Bombyx mori: one gene and its partner. The protein of the gene in region 1 purifies or fractionates together with the protein of each later gene. This does not show direct contact. Links are inferred from orthologs where the notes say so. Each region holds a gene or a part of one and is shown on either strand. Other genes may lie near its edges.

Region 1 (11,632 bases):
TTAAATATATATAGCTTATAACATTGTTCTATGTTTTTTACCATCGCATAATGTTTGAAGGTGGGTCTCAATTTTCACATAAGCATTTATTGCCCCTGCCTATTTGCTGGTAGTCTAAGGGGCTATACCAGCTACGCATGAATCGGTAGGTGACCTCACAGGCTCAACCTGAGAGAATTTGTTAACACTAGTTCTACCAAAAGTAGCGCTTCGCAGAATCTACTGCCGGATCGGAATCGTGACTCACTGAGAAGATCCGGCGAGAAACTCAGTAAACGTCAGATAGGCTTGTGGTCTTTTAACAAATACATATTTAAAAAAATGCAATACCTTGTAAGGTAGCCAAAGTCCATAGTGACTAAGTGCATGTCATTGACTCTTGTATTTGTTGTATTAGCCATTACCACAAAGCAATCCTTTGTGTAAACACATTAGCCACTCTTGAACTTCAAAATTATTGAGTAAACACATTAGCTAATAATTTCCATGAAATAGTTAATATAGTTTGAAAATCATTGTACTTGGTGTTTTGTTTTCATCAATTTGTCACTATGTTATTGTGTAGTGTTTTTGTTTGATGTAATTCGAGTTTGTTATGTTTTTTTGTGGTGTTGAATGTTTATTTGGGTTAACAAGGTATGTAGGTAATATTAAGAATGTATTAAATAGAAATTTTGCTATTTCTGGTACTATATGGCATTTTAATTTTATTTTTTGAATTTTTTGTCATAATTGTGGTTTTATTAAAAACCATTGGTGACCATTTGAGACAGTGGGCTGCTTGTTGGTAATTGACAAATAAGTTATTGTAGTTAGAGACAATATGGTAACCAACGTGGTTAATCCAAGGTGCGTTTATTGTAAGTTGAAAAAAAAACCCTTATATTCATAATAATATATTATCTAAGTTGCTTATGAGTGATAATAACTACTCATCAAGTGACCCATGACTTGCCTGCCTTCTGACAGTAAAAATATTTTTTTTACAAAAAGGTTAAAATTTGAGAAACAAGTAACTAACTGCTAAAATTAAGAAAACACTAACTTAAAATAAATATAAATTTAAATATAATACACATTGGTCGAAGTAATGGTAATCTTTTCTATTCTAATAATTTATTTATATTGTATAAATTAAAATTTTTGATTCCAATGAGACAATATGATAAATAATTATAACAGAAGTATGGATTTCGGTCCCGTGCTGTCCACAGCTTTATAATCAAAAGCACAATGATCTTGTCTATTTCAAAAATGGCACGGATTTAATTTTTTCATGAATTTCTTAACCTCATACTAAACATTTATGTATTGTTTTCAGAAGACACATCCAAGGAATTGGTCAAAAAGTCTATTGTAATGTCAAACAGCAAAGACGATAAGAGCGGACTCAGACACAACATGAAGTCACGACTCGACAGACTTGGTAATCTATATTCAGGTATGTTAGTGTATTATTTGTATTGTTTTCATATTACACTAAGGTATTTCTATCTTCTTCCTCAAGTCGTTCCCTCACTAATGAGAATCCTAGCTTCAAACTGCAATGAACTCCTCCACATGCTACGATTTCCGTCCTTTTTCTCTGCCTACTGGTGGTAGGACCTCTTGTAAGTCCGCACGGGTAGGTACCACCACACCGCCTATTTCTGCCGTGAAGCAGTAATGCGTGTCGGTTTGAAGGGCGGGGCAGCCGTTGTAACTATACTGAGACCTTAGAACTTATATCTCAAGGTGGGTGGCGCATTTGCGTTGTAGTTTTCTATGGGCTCCAGTTACTACTTAACACCAGGTGGGCTGTGCGTTCGTCCACCCATCTAAGCAATAAATAAAAAACCTCTGAGGGTCATGTCAGCTTCGTTGACCGAGTAGGTGAGCTCACGGGGCTCTAACCTGACGAATTTGTCAAACTAGCCCTACCAAGAGCAGTGCTTCGCAGAATCTACCACCGGATCGGAAACGCGACCACCTGAGAAGATCCGGCGAGTAACTCTTTCGTCCTAATGGAGAACTTTAGGCATTGACATTTTGATTTCCTTGACCACCTGGTCAGAGCAATATCTAGGAATTCTTCCCTGAAGTCTTTTACTGTCTACATTACATTGTTACACCTATCACTATATAATCTCTGTATTATAAATTCTCTATAATTATTGTCTTCCAGATAAACCAGAGCTCTCTTCGCCTATTCACCGTACGGAGTCGGAGTTCACATCAGCGACGCCGCCTTCGGAGTTCGAAGTGAAAAGTAAACAGACAAAACCACAAGATGGGAAGAAGAAATTTGGTAGACTCGCAGCCCTCGCTGATCAGATTAACACTTGGGAGGATGATTTGACCCATCATAGTTTTGTAAGTGTTCACGACTTTTAATTTAGGATACAAGATTTATTTGAGCTGACTAGTTATATCCTACTGTTCTAAGTATACTTACTGGTGGTAGGACCTCTTGTCCGCGCGGGTAGGTGCCACCGCCCTGCCTATTTCTGCCGTGAAGCAGTAATGCGTTTCGGTCTGAAGGGTAGGGCAGCCGTTTTAACTATACTGAGATCTTAGAACTTATATGTCAAGGTGGGTGGCGCATTTACGTTGTAGATGTCTGTGAGCTCTAGTAACCACTTAATACCAGGTGGGCTGTGAACTCGTCCACGAATCTAAGCAATAAAAAAAATAAAAAAACCCTGCACATATAGGCAACACAACGTGATTGTGTTCATCCTCCTTCAATCATGAGGTAAAAGGTACAATTCTTACACAACTGCCTCTCCAAACTGGATAGCACGACTGCTTTATGGCAGAATTAGGTGGAATGGTGGTACCGACTCGTGTGGGTCTAATCGCCTTACCAGTAATCTATACATGAATGAAACTTTGTATCCCTTTTTACGAAAATTGCGCTGACGGAGAAGTATGAAATTTGCCACACTTGGCACACTTAGAGAGAATATATAGAGAAGGAGTGCAGAATGTTAATATTTTTTTTAATTATGCCTAAAAATACATTAAATCAATAAAAATAACACTACACACACTACCATGTATTTGACGCACACACGCCTGCATACTATTTATTTATTGTCAAACTACAAAAGTTTTACAAAAGTCTTGACGTCTGTGGTCAAATTGAGAATAGATTTCATATTGTTTGTCTTATAATATTTTTATATAGTGTAGTCATGGCGAAATTTGTGATTAGAATCATAATAGTGTACAAACTTACAATTTCAATTAATTATAGTCGAATTTCGACTACTGCGGGACAACTAGTAATACTAATTTGTCCTTAATGATAAGTAGATTGACATTTTACTTGTACTGTAAAGAAAATTTAATAGTATCTTCTTTTCTTCTTCAGCAACCAGAGCCTAATAAGAAAACTGCAAACAATTTCAAAAGCAAAAAACTTGAAGATTCCACTCTGGATGTCTCCATACATTCCATAAAGGATATTGACAAGGCTTTGAAAGTTACTCAGAATAAAAAGGTTTGTATGTTTGTAGTGTTGAAAAAATATTAATTAAACTGCCCATCTCCATGTGGGCTATGTAGGTCTCAATATTAGAAACATAATGTTATATTGCCATGTTTGGAATTTTGAAATTGAATGTTTCTTGCAACGTCTTGTTGTTTACTGATATAAATATTTTTGGATATGGCAGCACGACACGAGAACCCTCTTGTCGTGGCCGCTGGAAACTACATACCCGATCCTGTAGACCGAATGGTAAACAGTCGATGTCGCCCAAAGCACGTCATTACGGATCCTCCCGATCCATTAACAGTGCTTTTAGGTACCTCAAGCACCGGTCATCGTCCTCGTCGAACCCGTCGCTTGCGACGAAGGGCTCGACGAGTAAATGAACCCTCAGACACAGCCCACTGAGTTTCTCGTCGGATCTTCTCAGTGGGTCGCGTTTCCGATCCGGTAGTAGATTCTGCGAAGCACTGCAACACTCCGGTTTGAGCCCCGTGAGCTCACCTACATGTTAGGGCGAAGATGAAACAGCCTCTCAAGGCTATCAGCATAGGTAGGAAAAAAATATATGGCTTAAACCAAATAGCCTTTTTTCCCTCTACACGTATATTATTATTCAAACACATTCATCGTCAGAAGAATTGTCACTTTCACTTACTGATCTACTTGACTCATTGTTTTAACATAAAATATCTTCTGAATCCTTCCCCATCCCCAAAAGCAATAAGACGCATCACGAATACAAACTATAATATAAAAAACGAAACACGTAGAAATGTGCATCTTAGTTACGTTGCAATAAGGTTTATTTTTAGTTAAATAATAGCTGTACCCGTCCGCTTCGATAGGCTTTTAAAATTAACATTATTATTTCTCACTCCCATAAAGATTCTCATCATTAGCGCCTCTACAACTGGTGTAGGGAGTCCCGCATATAAATATTAGCCTATCTATTAAGTACATGCAATTTTCTACATGGATACCAAGTTTCAAGTCAATCGGATGCACGGTTCAGCAGTTATAACGGAACATCCGTAAGAACCACAGTAGATTTATATATTAGTATAGATTAGTATAGATGACTCATGCTTTCAGACATCACACTACACTAGCAACAAGACATCGACGAAGCAGGTGAACGAATGTCAAAGATTGAAAAAGCAAATCGTCGCGGAACTGGTGAGTACTTAGGATTTAAGTTACGTACTCTTTGAACGATCACAGATGTGAGGTCTGATGTTTGTACAGAGATTAGTTTTATTAATATCACTAGCGGCCCGCTCCGGCTCCGTTCGGGTCTTTAACAAAAATTTCAACGATATTTGACGTTGTTTTATTTTTTTAAATAAAAGAACACTTATTGCGGCATAACTATAATAGTCAGACATATGCTGTCGCGACACTTCTTGTAAATAATAATGTGTTCTACAAAGTCGTGGTACATTATTTTATTCTATCATCAATAGTTTTCGCAGGGCACGCGATGTAAAGAATATTTTAGGTAATTTTTTTACACGTTGGATTACATTATTGGAGTTTTAGTAAGGATCCCTAATTTTTTTCAAAAAAGATTACTATACTGGCCTATGTCACTCGGGAATAGTGTAGCTTCCAAACAGTGAAAGGATTTTTCAAATCGGTTCAGTAGTTTCGGAGCCTATTCTAGTATATTCATATATTCATTCATACTATTCTGCTGATAGTACCTACATCCGACCTCACAGTTCTGAAGTTATTAAATTTTAATTATTCAATCAGTGTATTTCAGCTTAACAATTTAAGTATTACGTACAGAAGTAATGAGAAATTTGTGATTTAAATTTTAATAAAAAAAATAAAAAAAAACTTAAATGAACACAAAGTTCAATCAAAACAAACGGTAAGTAAAAATTTATTTTATATTTGTATTTATGTGTTGATTTTGATATATTTATAATAGATAGCTTGGTATTTACATAAAATATGTTTGTTTGTATGTAACTGAATCTTTGGACGTCATTACCATTGACTCGAAGACTCAGAATTTTCAAGTTAATCCGATGATTTGAAAATTTTAACACGCATTAATTACGATAAATATTAATATCGACGCTTGAAAGGCAAACGTGACTAAGTGACAATGCGTGAACTTTACAGTAGACTATTTTAAAGTTGAAATACCTGAAAACAAAATTTATTTTATCGAATCCAGCTGTAGTAGAATCTAGCTAGTAGCTGTAGGATTGAAATGATTTTAATAGACCTAGAAATATATATATTTTTTCCACATCGAATATGGTTATTGCCTATCATTTATGTACAAAGCAGTTATTGTCGCTTAGTCACGTTTGCCTTTCAAGCGTCGATATTATAAGTTCGCTCCAGCATCCTTAAAAAGAAAGAAATGAAATTGATCGTTAAGTAATTACAGTTTGCTTTTTAAGGGAGTGTTTTTTTTTTTTAAACTACCTACATATTATTATTTTATAAATTTGAAGGTATCTTAAGTCGTAACTAACAACTTTTTCCCATTAGCTATTAACAGAACCTTTAGCTTTCCACGATTGGATGGTGTGGGATCTTTGTTTTGTAGTTTTAAGATAAAAGATCGGAGAGCGTACCTAAGATTTGTTTTGTTAAAAAAAAACAATACAACTAATGTCGGCTCTTAAGTTTTTTTTGTTTTAAAGGGATGTGATAATGACGAAGTTGCACTATAATATACAAAGATTAAACGTTTGTTTGAATGATCGTTTGCGTCGCAGATAAGTTAATTCTTGATACGATATGTATTTAATAAAAAAATCCTACTCAAAAATGTTGTTGTTATAATATATTAGAACTAGTTGTGCCGCAGTAGTCGATATTCGACTAAAATTAATTGATAATATACCTAAGTTTCAACATTATTGTCGTTAAAAACTATAATATTTCTATAATCACAGATTTCGCCAAGACTACACTAGACAAATAATAATAAAGACAAACAATATTAACCTATTCTCAATTTGACCGCAGACTTTAAGCAATAACAAAAGTTTGACAATAAACAAAGAGTGTATTTATGTGTGTGTATCAAATACATGGTAGTGTGTGTAATATTTTTTTATTGATTTCGTGTATTACTAATGCATAGTAAAAAAAAATGCATTCTGCACTCCTTCTCTATATTCTCTATAAGTGTGGGAAATTTCATACTCCTCCGTCCGCGCGATTTTCGTAAAAAGGGATACAAAGTTTTTGCTTCACGTATTAATATATAGATTGTTACCACTATGCTATTTGGTATTAGACGAATTATTGAGATATGTTAACGAGCTCAACCGCCCGGCATTAAGCTGTTACTAAAGACTTGACGTCTCACGTATATGCCGTTTTGAGACAGATTTCAAGTCATTAAGTACATTAGTAAAATGGCTGCTCTGCGCTTTAGCCATAAACTGACTACAAAAAGGCTATCTAAGATAGTAAGCTACGCTAAGATAGTCATTTTAGCTCCGAGATAGAACGTGCAGGGTTGTATCGTCTCCTCCATAAAACTGACATATGAAATCTCTTTATCAGCACTCTACGGGTTTGTTGACTTATCATTTGTTGAAACTTGGTTTTTCCCCTAGCATTAGCAATGACCATTGACGATGGTGACCAGTATCCGTTGGGTGGGCCTGATACTCGTCTGCCATCGTTAGCAATAAAACATAATACACAATTTTAACAGAAGAGAAAATCGGTTTCAACATAATAAGATCTTGATAAATGGGATTAAATAAGAAGGATCTGCTTTGATTAAAAATAGATCATCAAAATCGTTTCACAGCACACGTAAATGATGTAATACGTCGTAGCCTAAAGGATAAGACGTCCGGTGCATTCGTATCTAGCGTTGCAACCGGTGTTCGAGTCCCGCAGGCGGGTACCAATTTTTCTGATGAAATACGTACTTAACAAATGTTCACGATTGACTTCCACGGTGAATGAATAACATCGTGTAATAAAAATCAAACCCGCAAAATTGTAATTTGCGTAATTACTGGTGGTAGGATCTCTTGTGAGTCCGCACGGGTAGGTACCACCGCCCTGCCTATTTCTGCCGTAATGCGTTTCGGTTTGAAAGGCGGAGCAGCCGTTGTAACTATACTGAGACCTTAGAACTTATATCTCAAGGTGGATGGCGCATTTGCGTTGTAGATGTCTATGGGCTCCAGTAACCACTTAACACCAGATGGGCTGTGAGCTCGTCCACCCATCTAAGCATATTTTTTTTTAGCATAGACAACCTTTTTTTAAATAACTCTTAAAAAGGTTAAAACTGTATCAGGGAAGAGTATTAAAATGGCGGTAGAACAGAATATGAATTTGAATTTAAATTCTACAATGTCAGATTAGATTTTATGTCAAGGTCTAATAGAATTAACGTCGTCTGATAGTAAATAGATCGTAAAAACGTAACCTATTATGGTGTAGGTAATATATTATGACAACGATTCGCGCGTGTACGTAGATGGCGCTTGGCCTTTGACTGTATTTCGTATCGTGGACTATAGACATACGAAGAGTAGTGTTAATATTTTACTTTCAATTTTTTTTTGAACGAAGTTCCTTATCGCGCGTTGTGAAAGGGGGCTAGACGGAAAAAATTCTTACGAAAAGTTGTCACGACACTTTTTAGATCCGTCATTCTGACCAATCAACGTGTAGGCGCTTATCGCGTGACATTGCTCGTATCCGATTGGTCCGCGTAATGAGTACAGTTTCTCGAGATAGCGTTTCAACAATAGTAATTTAGTTCATAGTATTGTTTTTTTCTTCTTCATAATGCCGTAATTTATTATTATAACTTAAAAAAAAAATTACAATTCCTTCACTAATTAATCGAAAGGAACTTCGTTCCATCCGGGTGTCCCTTGACACCTCTGAAGTTTTTTCTTTTTTATTATACGTTTTGATATGTCGTAACGCGCGTGGTGGCTCCGTTCACACGAGAGGTAGTATCATCTATAAGTCATTATAATTCGAAGGGTAATAGGTTAATTGGTTTAACTTTACAGGAGAGCCATGTATAGTTTAAATTTGAAGAAATAGTACATTGTGCACCAAGGGAGAAAAGTAGGACATTTCCTCCCGCGTGTAAAATTGCGCGGGATGAGATGTCCTACTTTTTTCCCGCGGTGCACATACTGTTTTTTCTCCTACCAGGCCGAAAGTTCGTGGAGTATTGAGCCGGGGTCCAGGGGCGAAGCCCTGGCAGGGGCATAAAAACACAATTTAACTGTTTTTTTAATTTTTAAATAAACTACTACTAATTGAATAAGAACTGTCTGATGAACTCATCTTTGTTTAATACTTCACTATTAAATTTTATTGCCTTTTGTTTATTTTAATTTTACACTAAACACAATATTGCAAATAACCCGAGCACAACAATGGCGGAGAATTTTAGGTGTGTGAGAGCAGACGTAGACACTAACGCGCATGCGCACTTGTCAGTACCCGGGGAGAAAAGTTAGACTTTCTTCCCTGTACAGCGGGAGGAAAACCGAACTTTCGGCGTAGGTAGGAGAATAAATATCATAACTTCTCTAGCTGTTTGAATGGTGTAACCTTAATTGCAGCTCAATTAAAAACGTAGTTTGTTGATACTAATACCAAATAAAACGCACTTTTAATTACAAACATAAAGGACAATGCCCAAAAGTGGGCCAACTTTATGTCAAAACTATTTGTACTTGAAAAACTATGCCTTATTTTTTCACGTTGTTCAGTTTATGTATCAACATTACTTTCAACCTGGCATTGTTTTACAAAAAAATAAATTACTTATTTGATAACATCCCAAAACTGAGTGCCATAGTTTTTAAATTCGCCAATAGGCAAAGGGCCTATCGTTGCCGGCTTCCGGATTTGCATTTTATTTTATTATTATTATGAGGATATAATAATAATTATTTTATTATTATTATGAGGATATAATAATAATAAAATGTACGTAAAGGCTTATTTCTAGCAAAATTAACCACAATTAAGTTATTTAATACTGTAAATAATGATGAGAGCGATTATTGATTTCGAAGAAAACAATTAACAACTTAATTTTAGCTGCAGAAAAAAACAGATTTCTCTTAAACCTGTGTGAGAATATAAAAATCGTTTTCTGAATATGAAACGATATTTCTTTGTCTATCAAATTAAGTTAAAACCATCATGACCCGATAACTTTTTTTAGGGGCCCAAACGCCCTAAGAAATTGGACATTGTCCTTTCGCGTATTAAGCTAAATGTCGCTTAAACCAAATAGCCTTTCGCCCTCATTCAGTGCATTAAAAATACATAGATCGTCATGAACTCGTATCGATCATCGCACGCGTCTATGTTGCGGTACAAATCACGCAGGCAGTCATATATTTTCCAAGGAAATAACTGTGTGACAGAACACGTGCTCATTAAGGACTTCCACGATGAACAACGTCCCTTAGTTACCACCATCCTGCCTATTTCTGTAGGGAAACAGTATCTTTTCAGTTTGAAGAGTGGGGCAGCCGTTGTTCTATACGATTAAGACCTAGACCTCATGCCTCAAGGCGGGTGTGAGGTATTCACGTTGTAATCTATGTGGTTACAGCAACCATTCCACATCAGTCGAGTTTTTTAACTTCTCGACCGCGTAAAAGTTAACTTAAATTTGTATTGGAGCTGGAACAGCACCCCTAGCGGTAAACGTGGGTGTTCCAGACTGTTCCACACACAGAGAAGCACGGGCTCGTCGAACCAATATATGTAATTGAATATGCAATTTCGAAAAGGGCACATCTCTGAAAATGTAAAATGTTCAGGAAATGAAAAAAACTGATTATTTTCTAAAGCAGTGTAAAATTTAAAATATTAACTTTTGAGATATATTTTAGTGTTAATTAACAATTAAAAATTACTGGAATTATTATAAAATGGGTGTAGGTAAGCCTCAAGACTACATGTATATGAAAAAAACGTATTTGACAAAATATGCGACATGTGCCCTTTTCGAAATTGCATATTCAATTATGACTAGTGACTTAAAAATATATAGAACTAATGTGGCTCTACAGTTTCGCTGTTTTTTTTTTTTTTTAAGTTTTAGTCAAGGATTTAAGTCGCGTATTTTATAAACAGTTTCAACGCGTTACCCCCATGGCATACTAAACGACAATCACACATCATGATCTGCCGCGTCCGCATGACGCACACGCACGATGTGTCTGAAGAGCATCAAGATATCATTTGAATAGTCGCGTAATATACAAGAGACCGCAGTTTGAGGTTTACTGGTGTATAGTAATGCGATATTATGCCGTGGCTAGGATTCTGCACCAATTATAATTTTATATTGTACCTAGTCAGGTCATAAATTTTGTCACATGTTTAATATAAAATAATTGAAACAAGTTTATTCATTATGTAACCATTCATATACCAAAATGAACTTAACAAAACATAGATTCTTATGACACTAAAGTTTATTCAAAATGACCTCCGTGATTTTGAATACAGGCCTTCAATCTGCGCGGCCAGTCGTCTATCGCAGCACGAACGAGGTCCATGTCAATATCGGCGGCTGCCTTAATCAAGGATGTCTTGAGTGACTCCAAATTGGGATGAGGCTTTGAGCACGCTGAAAATTCGATGAAATTCGAATTCAATAAACTTTTTTGTGGCCAGCATTCTAAAAGAAAAGTTTTAACTGTGTGACAATACTTATGACCTGACTAGGTAATACCTGTTTAACCTGCAGAAAGAACGAGATCGTGTTTTCGGTGTGACTGTGTTACGGTTTAAATCTTGCGTGTCGCCACTATTTTTTTTCAATTTAAATGTAGGTATCTATAAAACATGTCACGCGCAAATGGCTCCTACGATTGTAGAACAAAATCATCTACATAATTATAATGAAACCCGTATAATTTATAAGTTATTAATAGTCGCCATAATGGCCTGCACGGATATGTACCACAATCCTGCAGACATCACCCTGTTGATGTCATCGTCCATGTTGAGACATCCAGTTCAAATGTTAACTTTAAACTATTTGCATGATACAAGGAATTGGTAGGCAGCAGCTTGGTTCTGCTCCTGGCATTGCTGAAATCCATGGGCCACGGTAAACACTCACAATCAGGTGGGCCATTTATTCGACTACCTACAAGG
Region 2 (11,632 bases), on another chromosome or scaffold:
AGTTTGAACATTATTATGGGTCTATTGTCAAAGACAATATGGCGAAATCTGTTCTATAATCACAGATTTCGCCAAGGCTACACTATATACAAATAATATTAAAGACAAACAATATTGATCTATTATCAATTGGACTACAGACTTTAAACAATAACAAAAGTTGACAATACCAAAAAAGAGAGTATGTATATGTGTTGTGTCAAATACATGGTAGTGTGTGTAATGTTTTTTTATTAATCAATAGATTTAAAGTATTTTTGTATACATAATTAAAAAAAAAAATTACATTCTGCACTCCTTCTCTATATTCTTTATCAGTGTGGGAAATTTAATACTCCTTTGTTCGCGCAATTTTAGTAAAAAAGGGTATTACGTTTTTGCTTCACGTATTCATATTTACTCAATATACCTACTTAGATACAAGGAGGAAACAACGATAGAAATAGAGACACATCACGAACAATATCGTCGATTTTAGTTTCTGAAGTTTAAAGTAAAAAAAGCGGCAAGCAACATTATTTGCCATAAAAACAAAAGTAAGACGAGAACGAATCATTACGGTTTCGGGATATTCGTCTGTCATTTTGAACGTTTGAAGAATACTATATTATAGTAATTTATAACTCTGAGACGCATTACCTTGTATCGGTGAGTCATCTGTCGCCGGAGTACGGAGCCGGCTAGACCGACTCGAGTGTGTACGACACTCCACCTACTTATTTAACATGTACTCAATACACTGAACAGCGTTATACACAGATTTTATCAATTATAATCAACTAGCTATAATGGAAAACACAATATATGTTAGTACAAATAGTGTATTCGCGAAGCTGTGCCACATTATTATTTTTCGCTGCGGGAGTCTTTTTTTATATACCTACCTTCGGGGAGAATTTGATTACCTTTGATTGAACAGTTGCTCACACAACTCGTTTGGTGTTTACCAGAGCTCATAGAAAGCACTTCATCATCACCGCTTCAGCTACGAGTCCGAAGATCCATTGTAATAGTCACTTCAGTGTGAAAGGATTACGCTAAAACGAAACGCATTATATATTGTTTTTTTTTATTGCCTTCATGGGTGGACGAGCTCACAGCCCACCTGGTGTTAAGTGGTTACTGGAGCCCATAGACATCTACAACGTAAATGCGCCACCCAGCTTGAGATATAAGTTCTAAAGATCTCAGTATAGTTGCTGCGGAAATAGGCAAGACGGTGGTACTGACCCATTCAACTCACAACATACCCTACGGCCTATAATGATGCTGTCTGTAAGTTATAAAATCAAGCAAATAATGGGTTTCAATGTCTCTCGTAAAATAGTAAAGATAGAACAATCATGTTTCGCGTAGGATAATGTTAAAAGTGAAAACGCTCCACTGGTCTTGTTTAAATTTATCAGAAACCGGTTTTTAAATTAACTTATTAGTCATGAAACAACTTTGTCGCGTTTATATCTAGCTCGATTCGTTTTACTTTTATCAATAAGTCGCTCTTTCATTTTAGTTTAAAAAAACTTTTGTTCATTTTTCAGTTACAGAGTAAACGAGAGCTGTTTTTCAAGTCGGACACTGTAAGCGGTGGCGGCGTAAGCGCGTCTGTCCCGCCTTCTGCAGCACCGCCCGCGCCTCCTTCCACGCTCAAAGATGCGCTCAGTAAGCGCTCTGCGACGCTACCAGAGCCTCAGGAGACTAACCACGTAGAAGCCAATGGGATCGCCACGAAACACAGCAATAGCGTGTCGGTAGATGTCTCCAAGCCTCCGAGTACAGCGCCCCCACCAACACCTGCCCCGCCAGTACCAATATCTGCACCTCCCGCACCAGTACCGACACCCCTCAGGAGTACAGAGAATATTATGAAGGTAGGTTCGTAATTTTATCATAGAATGTACAAGAACGGATAAAACAATGACTGTATTTATTCTTATTATCAATACATTGTATAATGAATGTTACACTGTGCGACTTTCATCATATTACAAGAAGTTACTGTTGAGTCATTGTAATATTTAGTACCCGCGTATTATCTCTATAATGAAATCGAACATACGTTCGTATTCATCTAATGACGGATTTAGATATTCTGATCAATTCAATGATTTTGTAATAATTTAAACATTGAGTGTATTTCATTCCAGAAAGCCGAACACCCACCGGTCGCGCCGAAACCAGACTTACCTAAAATAGAAAAACCAAAAACCAAAGAACTAGATGGCTACGTCGGTTTTGCTAATCTGCCGAACCAAGTGTACAGGAAAGCTGTGAAGAAGGGCTTCGAATTCACGTTGATGGTCGTAGGTAAGATATAGCTGCGTTGTTAATGCGCAATACGAGAGCGATAACAACTGTAGTTCGAGCTCGGTAAATAAGGGCCGTCTTGTGTTTGTTATGAGTTACTGACATTATTTCTATTACATTTTATCTTATTGACGTCAATACCCCCGACGACTTTCATAAGACTATTTCTGTATTTATGCATCTTTTTGAATTAGCGAAACAAATTCCTAATGAGACGTTTTTAATTCGAATTCAAGGTGAATCAGGCTTGGGCAAGTCGACACTAATAAACTCGCTCTTCTTGACGGAGGTGTATGACAAGGACAAACATCCGGGGCCGTCGCTGCGAGTGAAGAAGACGGTTGGCGTTGAAACCAGCGTCGTTCTTCTAAAAGAGAATGGTGTTAACCTCACGCTGACCATCGTCGACACGCCGGGATTCGGCGACGCCGTCGATAACAGTAATTGGTGTGTAGATGATACTTAAAGAATTAAAGAAAGAACTCCCTTAATGAGTTCGGGAATTAAGTAATTTGTTTAAAAATAGTTTCTGTCGTTATATATTTCGTCTTCTTTTGTGTGTACTATTTTAGGCATGCTTTAAATACATAAAGGCTCTTTCGTATTGTATCGTACTTTGTAATTTTAGTTGGGTACCACCACCCGTCTATTTCTGCCGCGAAGCAGTAATGCGTTTCGGCCTGAAGGGTGGGTGGGGCAGCCGTTGTAACTACATATAGAGACCTTAGAACTCATATCTCAAGGTGGGTGGCGGCATTTACATTGTAGATGTCTATGGGCTCTAGTAACCACATAACACCAGGTGGGCTGTGAGCTCGTCCACAAATCCAAGCTATAAAAAAAACGTAATATCAAAAGAACTGTATACCCCAACTCTCTCCTCACGTTACAGTTGGCAACCGATCATCGACTTCGTTGAATCGAAGTACGAAGAGTTTTTGAACGCCGAATCACGTGTCGCCCGCAAGGCGGCGCCACCGGACACGCGCGTGCACTGCTGCCTGTACTTCATAGCGCCGAGCGGGCACGGACTCAAACCCCTGGACGTCGAGTTCATGCAGCGACTCGGAGATAAGGTCAACATCATTCCGGTCATCGCTAAGGCCGATACAATGACGCCCGAAGAGTGCAAGGACTTCAAAGAACAGGTTCGTGATCAGTTTTGTGTAAAGTGTAAAGCAATAAGTTTGAAGTCGTCGTGGCCTAAAAGATAAGACGTCCGGTGCATTCGTATGTAGCGATGCACTGGTATTCGAATCCCGCAGGCTGGTACCAATTTTTCCAATGAAATACGTATGTACTTAACAAATGTTCACGATTGACTTCCACGGCGAAGGAATAACATCGTGTAATCAAAATCACAAAATTATAATTTGCGTAATTACTGGTGATAGGACCTCTTGTGAGTCCACACACGGGTAGGGACCACCACCCTGCCTATTTCTGCCGTGAAGCGTAATGTATTTCGGTTTGAAGAGTGGGGCAGCCGTTGTAATTATACTGAGACCTTAGAACTCATATCTCAAGGTGGGTTTTGCGGGCGGCATTTGCGTTGTAGATTTCTATGGGCTCCGGTAACAATTCAACACCAGGAGGGCTGTGGGCTCGTCCACCCATCTATGTAAGAAAAATAAAATACAACCGAACAATAGAGCCGCGGTTGCCTAATCAGTAAGACTAAAAGACTAATCTCATTAGAAAATACCACCTCATTTTTCAAGAGGGTGGTGCCGACGTATACTGAGGAGTTCGGGCCCAATTACGTATTAATCTTGCTCATGGACACTTGCTTCATGAAACATGCAGAGTGATGTTTATACCACGCACTGAACTGTCAGACTAGAAATTACACACGATTGTGTCGATATAGATATAACACAGAGTAATAATGATAATTCCAGATAATGAAAGAAATCGGTCAGCACAAGATTAAAATTTACGACTTCCCGGAGAGCACGGGCGAGGAAGGGGACGGCGCTGACGTCACCAAGTCGCTGCGGGCGCGGGTACCCTTCGCCGTCGTCGGCGCCAACACCGTCATAGAGCAGGACGGGCGCCGCATACGGGGCAGGAAGTACCCTTGGGGCATCGCCGAGGGTGTGTACTCTTCAAACAGCCTACTCACATTAGATTCAACATATTAACTCCCCTCCACGGTGTTTTCCGAGCGCTATGACATGTTCTTCTTCAAACGAGGCTTGCGGAGAGTACTTAATGGTAGGCAGCGGCTTGGCTCTGCCCCTGGCATAGCTGACGCCCATGAGCGACGATGACGACTGACCATCAGGTGGGCCCTATGCTCGTCTGCCTACAAAGGCAATAAAAAAATTCAAAAAGAAAACCTGTGACGATTTTAAAATTAATAATTATTATGACAAATGTATCGCTACTTGTGAGTCCGCACGGGTACGTACCACCACCCCGCCTATTTCTACCATGAAGCAGTAATGCGTTTCGGTTTGAAGGGTGGGGCAGCCGTTATAACTATAATGAGACCTTAGAACTCATATCTCAAGGTGGATGGCGGCATTTATTTTATAGATGTCTATGGGCGCGAGTAATTACTTAATACCAGGTCGGCTATAAAAACTGTGGTGCTGCTGATAAACAATAATTCTAAATACTTCACAAAATAATAACTTACTTGTGATTTTAGTTGAAAATTTGGAGCACTGCGATTTTCTGGCGCTTCGGAACATGGTGATACGGACGCACCTTCAGGACCTGAAGGACGTGACCAGCTCTGTGCATTACGAGAACTATCGATGTCGCAAACTGGCCGGACTCTCGCACGACGGGAAGCCGCACAGAACCAACTCTAATAAGTACGTTAACTCATATATCATACCATTTCGAACTAATACTTCTTCAGTGAATAATTACGCATTTTACTTTTAAAAAAAATACGAAGTACTTTCTTCGAATTAGCAGAATTCAATCGGAACAGGCATGTTTAGTTTTAACAACCTAATAAGACAGGGTTGGTGAACTAATTAAACTAATGTTATTCATTTTTATTTGTACTGTTGTCACCATGTTCAAGGTCACCAGACTATAAATATGATTTTTTTGAAAATAGATTTGAATCTAAATTAATAATCATATTAACATTGACACCGTGTGTTCCATTACTTTTATCATTGCTGCATGTCTGGTAACCTTTACTGATTTGTATCTTTCCTCTTTACTGTCGCAGTTGTGAGCTGAATATATTTTGTTTTGTATGTTTATGTTCAGTATTATATAATAGCTGCGTACGATATATCTATTCAAACGAACGTTCTGTGCTTGGGCATGCAGAAATGAAATAATAGTTTTTAACATTTATCATTCGTATTCGTCATGGACCATTTAATATTGGTCTTTAGATTTGTACGGAAACTTTTTAGTAAGATAACGTTTTTGAAACCCACACTGAGATGGTCCATGACGAATCCAGTACATGTTACAAGTTGCAGTTCATTCGCTTTCACAGTGGCATTAATAACAATTCATTCACGATTGTGTGTTTAGAAGTGATTTGTCAACTATTTAACGAGCGTGTGTCATTTGTTCGGTTATGCACACTATGATGTCACTTATTCATATCTCCATTTGTATTTATCCAAAGAGAACAAAAACACATCGAAAAAAGAAGTGTCTCGTGCCAGCGAAGTGGTTCACGTTTCGTTGTTCTATTGTTTGCTTTAACACAAAAGATGTTGTTGTCATTGATATTGTTAATGAACATATAAAGAAAGGAGAAAATAATATATAATGAACAAATAAAGAACACTGACAAATTATCAATGAAAAACGATCATTTGATACTAATATCAAATAAAATAAAAAAAAACATTTTGGATAGAGATTAGGATCTTGTAAATATTTGAGCTGAGTGACATTTTATTAAGTCGATGACGTCACATAATAGTAACCTTATTTTCGTAATGGCAGCCAAATCGAGTGTTGCCAGCCAAAAAAAAAGTTTATCTGTTTATGTAAACGAGAATGAGTTGGTAATGCCACTGTATGATTGCGCGAGCACAGCCTCCTGTGTCGTTAACTATTGGTTGTGTTGGTGTTCAGTTTGTGCCCGCAAGGACTGATGAACAGTTTCATGACCGTGTGGTAAGTTCCCCACGAAATACATTTTGAATCTACGTACGTAGAGCACGGTTTTAGTCTGGGTCACGTGGCCGAATGAGGTCTCACAATGTGGAGGGACTACATGTTGTTAGACTTGGGTGTGGCTTGTTATTAGTTTTGCATCATTTCGGTTATAGCGGCTGTGGGTGTTGTGTACTAACTCGTGATTGTGTGGTTGAGGGTTTCGTGATTTACTAACTTTTGAGTTTTAAATGATGTTCGAAAAAGAACGCTGGCGTTCAAGATTAAAACCTTTTTTTTTTAATGTTTTTTTTTTATCGTTGCTGTCATTGTCCTAGGTCTTCTTTACACAGCTTTCAATGGTAATTGCTTGTAGTTTTTTCAACTAAATGTAAGGAACGATATATGCATGACAATTTTATTTTGATACCCCTATACCCAAATGTGTTTATTATTTAAATACAGAAGGACAAAGCGTCTAAACAAATTAAGTAAAACGTTTTATTTGTGATTTTACATTTTAAATCCAAAAGTTATTTCCCCTTTTAAAGATGAGCTTGATTTGTTATTATCTTAAGATCTGAATGTAAAGTTATTAGTAATTATTGGAAATGTTATAGATATGACACTAAGATTGTTTTGCATGATAAATTTTGTACGTAATAAAATTAATGATGACATTAAGAAACAAAAATTTGCACCTACAACGGTTTTGTGTAAATGCTTTTGTTTACTTCCAGGAATCCATTAGCACAGATGGAAGAGGAAAAACGCGAACACGACCTAAAGATGGAAAAAATGGAGAGTGAAATGGAACAAGTGAGTATTAATTTTCAAGATTTGTTTTCTTGGGTTTGTAGATCAATATAAACATCAATGTTATTTTTGGATTAGTCAAGTAAAAATTTAAGTAAATTTTGATTTTGATTAATGAAAATGTATAATTGGAACCCTTTTCATCGAAATTCATTTGGATCTAGACCAATTCGCACAACAATCGAAGACCGTCTACGTTGTTATCGTGTGTGATAGGCGTTCGCTCAAAGTCAAGTCAGGAGAGCATTCAATCTTGCAATTGCCACCACTGAATTGAAGTCGTCGTGCCCTAATGGATAAGACGTCCAGTGCATTCGTGTTGAGCGATGCACCGGTGTTCGAATCTCCGGCGGGTACCAATTTTTCTAATGAAATACGTACTCGACAAATGTTCACGATTGATTTCCACGGTAAGGAATAACATCGTGTAATAAATATGAAACCCGCAAAAATTATAATTTGCGTAATTACTGGTGGTAGGTAAGACCTCTTGCGAGTCCGCTCGGGTAGGTACCACCACCGCCTTGCCTATTTCTGCCGTGAAGCAGTAATGCGTTTCGGTTTGTAGGGTGGGGTAGCCGTTGTTACTATACTTGAGACCTTAGAACTTATATCTCAAGGTGGGTGGCGCATTTACGTTGTGGGTGTCTATGGGCTATTTCAGAAAGAAATTATAAAGGACTTGGCTTCGGCCTTCATGAAATTTTTATTTCAGGATATCATATAAATCATATAAGACCTGGCTTTTTTGAAAATTTATTTCAGAAATTATATAGAACAGACAAGGCTGTATAGGCTTAGATTCCCTTGCCTTTTCTAATAAGGAAAAATTGTACAAAAAAAAATGTTTATGGGCTCCAGTAACCACTTAAAACGAGATGGGCTGTGAGCTCGTCTAAAAAAAAAACGTGATCATCGCTCGTTTTCAGATATTCCAAACGAAAGTCCGCGACAAGCGCGCGAAGCTGAAGGAGTCCGAGGCGGAGCTGGCGCGGCGGCACGAGGCCACGCGGCGCGCGCTGGAGGCGCAGGCGCGCGAGCTGGACGAGCGGCAGCGCGCACTCAACGCCGAGCGCGCCGCCTGGGAGCGCGACACCGGCCTCTCGCTCGACGACCTGCGCAGGCGCTCGCTCGAGGCCAACAGCAAAGAGTACATATACCACCACTACACTACAACTATTTAGTTCATTTTAACGTTCCCGAATCTGAAACGAGCTTTTAGTATTTTACTATCACTATCATTATCAAACAAACGTAAAATGGAAAGCATGGAAAGTCGAATGGAAAGCAGTCGACGTCGCCCAAAACACGTCATTTCGAATCCTCCCGATCCACTAACGGTGCTTTTAGGTACCTTAAGCACCGGTCATCTTGGGGCTCGACGAGGAAATTAACCCACAGACACAGCCCACTGAGTTTCTCCCCTGATCTGCTCAATGGGTCGTGATTGCGATCCGCTGATAGATTCTGCCAAGCACGGCTCTTGCTAGGGTTCGTGTTAGCAACAACGTCAGGTTTGAGCCCTGCGAGCTCATCTACTAGTTCGGCGAATCTAGAATAACCCCTCTAGGTTACTAGAATAGATAGGAAAAAAATAGATTTCGACGGAAAACTACAATAATAAAATTTTGTTGTATTTTCAGAACCGTTGACGGCAAAGAAAAGAAGGACAAGAAAAAGAAAGGTTTGTTCTAAAATGTTTGTTTGTCTGAAACGTCGGCCTCGCACCCACCGCGACAAGCGCGTACTAACCTCGTGTTTCGTCACCGCGTCTCTCTTGGATATGTGTTGTCTAATGCAATAAACTATCGAATATAATCGGGAAGCGAATCACGCTACTTGTATAACGGGGATCGTCTCGTAAGCGACGCGACCTGCATTCATAACAAGTGTCCACATCGATTTGATGTCGTATTTAGAGATGTTCTAAATTAAACTGTTATGCGGAGCACGTCGTGGAGAGACATAATCAGAATAAAATTTCGTACGTTGCTGTATATAGGGTTGCCAAATGTATAACACTGAAACATTAAAAACGATTGTCGTGCTAAATTTAGAATACTCAACTATTGATACTCTATTTAGATTCACTTGTCACTTTTAGGGTTAAACGAAGAATTGTTTCGCAAAAGCGAAAAGTACAAGGATGTTACGTTTTAAATCTGTGAATTAATTTATTACATTAAAAAAAACAACGCTGGCAACCCTAACACTACACGTACACGCTTGAACGATGTGTTAATAAACTTGAAAATTCCTGTCTTCGTTTACGGTTTTTGGTGTTTGTGTGTATGTGTTACGAAAATTGCTTAGGTTATAAAAAGCGTATGAAAAAAAAATATATGCCCCGAATTTAAAATCTCCCCTGTCTATTTAATTTGATGTCTGTAAAAATAAATAAATCGGGTGGGTCGTTTATTTGTAAATTGTACCTGACTATGGAAAAGCAATGGTATGTGAATATAAATCTGATTTAAAAATAATTAAAACTAAGGTTTTTCTATGAATACTAGCTCACGCTTAATTTGAATGCCGGCTAATTAATATGTCGTATTTTATGTCATAAAAGAACGAAACGAGGGAAAGTTTGATCTACATCATTGTAGTTGAGACTTCCTGAAGCAAATGTATTATCTTTGACTTTTATTCGAATTAAAAAGTACATGATGATTTCAAAATTTGCAACGAATAACATATCTACAAATTTTTGTCTCTTTTTTTTTTCTTAGTTTCACAAGCCTTTTGTCGTTACTTATGATGTGTGCATGATTAAACTAAGAGCACCACGGATTTCTTAATTTTCATTCTCCTTAACCGCATAGCAAAATGAATGTGAGAATTACACACACAAGATACGAAAATTTCTTTAAAAAAATCATCTATTTGCTAACTACCAAGGTTTCTTTGTTGTTTGCAGTTTACTTTAAGAAATCCGATATGAGTATGAGTACTGAATGCAACAATAATTACACTCGTATGATCAAATCACTTTTTTTCCATATAAAACTTAACATGGAATGAATTAATTTCACTTTATATTTTATGGGGGTTTTTTTTATTTGTCCCTAACTCTGGTCTTATTGTCATTATCTATGTTCCGTGTTACTTATGAAATGCTATGTATTGTTCAAAAACAGTAACTAAAATTAAAACATTTTCTGTCTGAATAATGTTCAGGTCTCGATTTCTTTTTCTTAGTTCATGTTTCTGAAAACCATTGAAATATTGGTATTAATGAATTTTAAAGCAATAAATGAGAATTATTAATGAATTAGAAAATTTAAATCTAAGATTAAGTACTGAGATTGTTCAATGTGATTTGCAGATTGGTCTTTTAAGAGTGTCGCAACTGGAATATCTATATAAGGTCTTCTTCATACACGTCGAATTGTATTTTAGACATAACGAATTACAACGATTAAACCAAGACTACCAGAGGCAATAAATAAATGTAGAACATCAGAACTATTATTTGAATATTTCAATTTATGTACGAATTCAAATTATTCCATGACAAGGCATTTATTTTTTAATGTAAGTGTGTGGGGCCTAATTTTGTATGATGATTTCTTTTTCGAAAAGTTTTTACAACGTTTTTGTCAATAGCAGGGTTAGCCCAAACGTTTAAATCACATGTTTACGTCCAGAAAGATGCCAAATAGCTTTTAATAATAGATCTGTTTCGAAGCCGGCATGCGTGACGGTTCGACCCAACGATGTGTGATCTGTTTAGCTCAAAACCAATCAAAAACGAAAATGAAAATAATTTAAATATTATATATAGTAAGTAACTATTACATTCGTGACAAAAGAAAATCGCTCTTGATTAACATAGGAGGCAATTAGTGGTCTACAATCGATTTGTATTAGAAAACATTCTAAAGTTTTTAACGATAAGTGATAATTTTAATTCTAATATTTCGGCTTGATCCGTGCAATTTGGAATACGCGTATGTATCGAAATCGCACAGCGTTCGTTTTAGAATATACTCGAGTATATTGTGCTTAGTGATACTAATGTTATGCTCATAGCTCAGTTTTTGATATAGGAACTAGCTAGCCGATAGCGCTCGGTATAAGGACGCGATCTCTCAACACGTGACATGAACCATTAATTATTTCGTTAATCTGTCGAGAGATTATGTAAGGCTGGTCATCCACTACGCTCGTACGCCGATAGCTCCGCGATAGGCCACGGTTTGGCTATGGCGTGACACTGTTGATTTAATAGGCGAACGTTTACCGATAGGCCGTATCCTCATCTGCCTAATAAGTCGCCGAAGAAAAATCTAAAATTACTGGCGAGTACAACTAAAAATGTACGGTTGCTTCATAGTTTGTACTGCTTTTTATTTTCGCACAGAATACGAATACAGTTGTGCGGTGCGCTATAGGTTCGCGAACGTAGTGGACGCCTAGCTTA

The links.
Region 2: the proteins of anillin (region 1) and septin-7 purify together in Drosophila melanogaster (affinity purification with western blotting; 3 studies listed by BioGRID, with this or other methods). This does not show direct contact. The link is inferred for Bombyx mori from reciprocal best matches to the Drosophila melanogaster genes scra and pnut.

What each region holds. Positions count from the first base shown.
Region 1 is NC_085126.1:7,289,986-7,301,617, reverse strand, and holds part of anillin, read left to right. Parts: intron 1-1,321; coding exon 1,322-1,441; intron 1,442-2,164; coding exon 2,165-2,352; intron 2,353-3,355; coding exon 3,356-3,484; intron 3,485-4,570; coding exon 4,571-4,654; intron 4,655-11,632. UniProt on the Drosophila melanogaster protein: Required for cytokinesis. Essential for the structural integrity of the cleavage furrow and for completion of cleavage furrow ingression and proper formation of the midbody.
Region 2 is NC_085111.1:8,882,256-8,893,887, reverse strand, and holds part of septin-7, read left to right. Parts: intron 1-1,538; coding exon 1,539-1,868; intron 1,869-2,144; coding exon 2,145-2,304; intron 2,305-2,540; coding exon 2,541-2,751; intron 2,752-3,196; coding exon 3,197-3,452; intron 3,453-4,205; coding exon 4,206-4,401; intron 4,402-4,960; coding exon 4,961-5,129; intron 5,130-7,133; coding exon 7,134-7,212; intron 7,213-8,138; coding exon 8,139-8,359; intron 8,360-8,852; coding exon 8,853-8,893; coding exon of another isoform or gene 8,894-8,904; exon of another isoform or gene 8,905-10,534; coding exon 10,535-10,575; 3' UTR 10,576-11,632. UniProt on the Drosophila melanogaster protein: Involved in cytokinesis and possibly cellularization. Also acts as an enhancer of the sina gene, thus having a role in photoreceptor development. May be involved in p53-dependent apoptosis.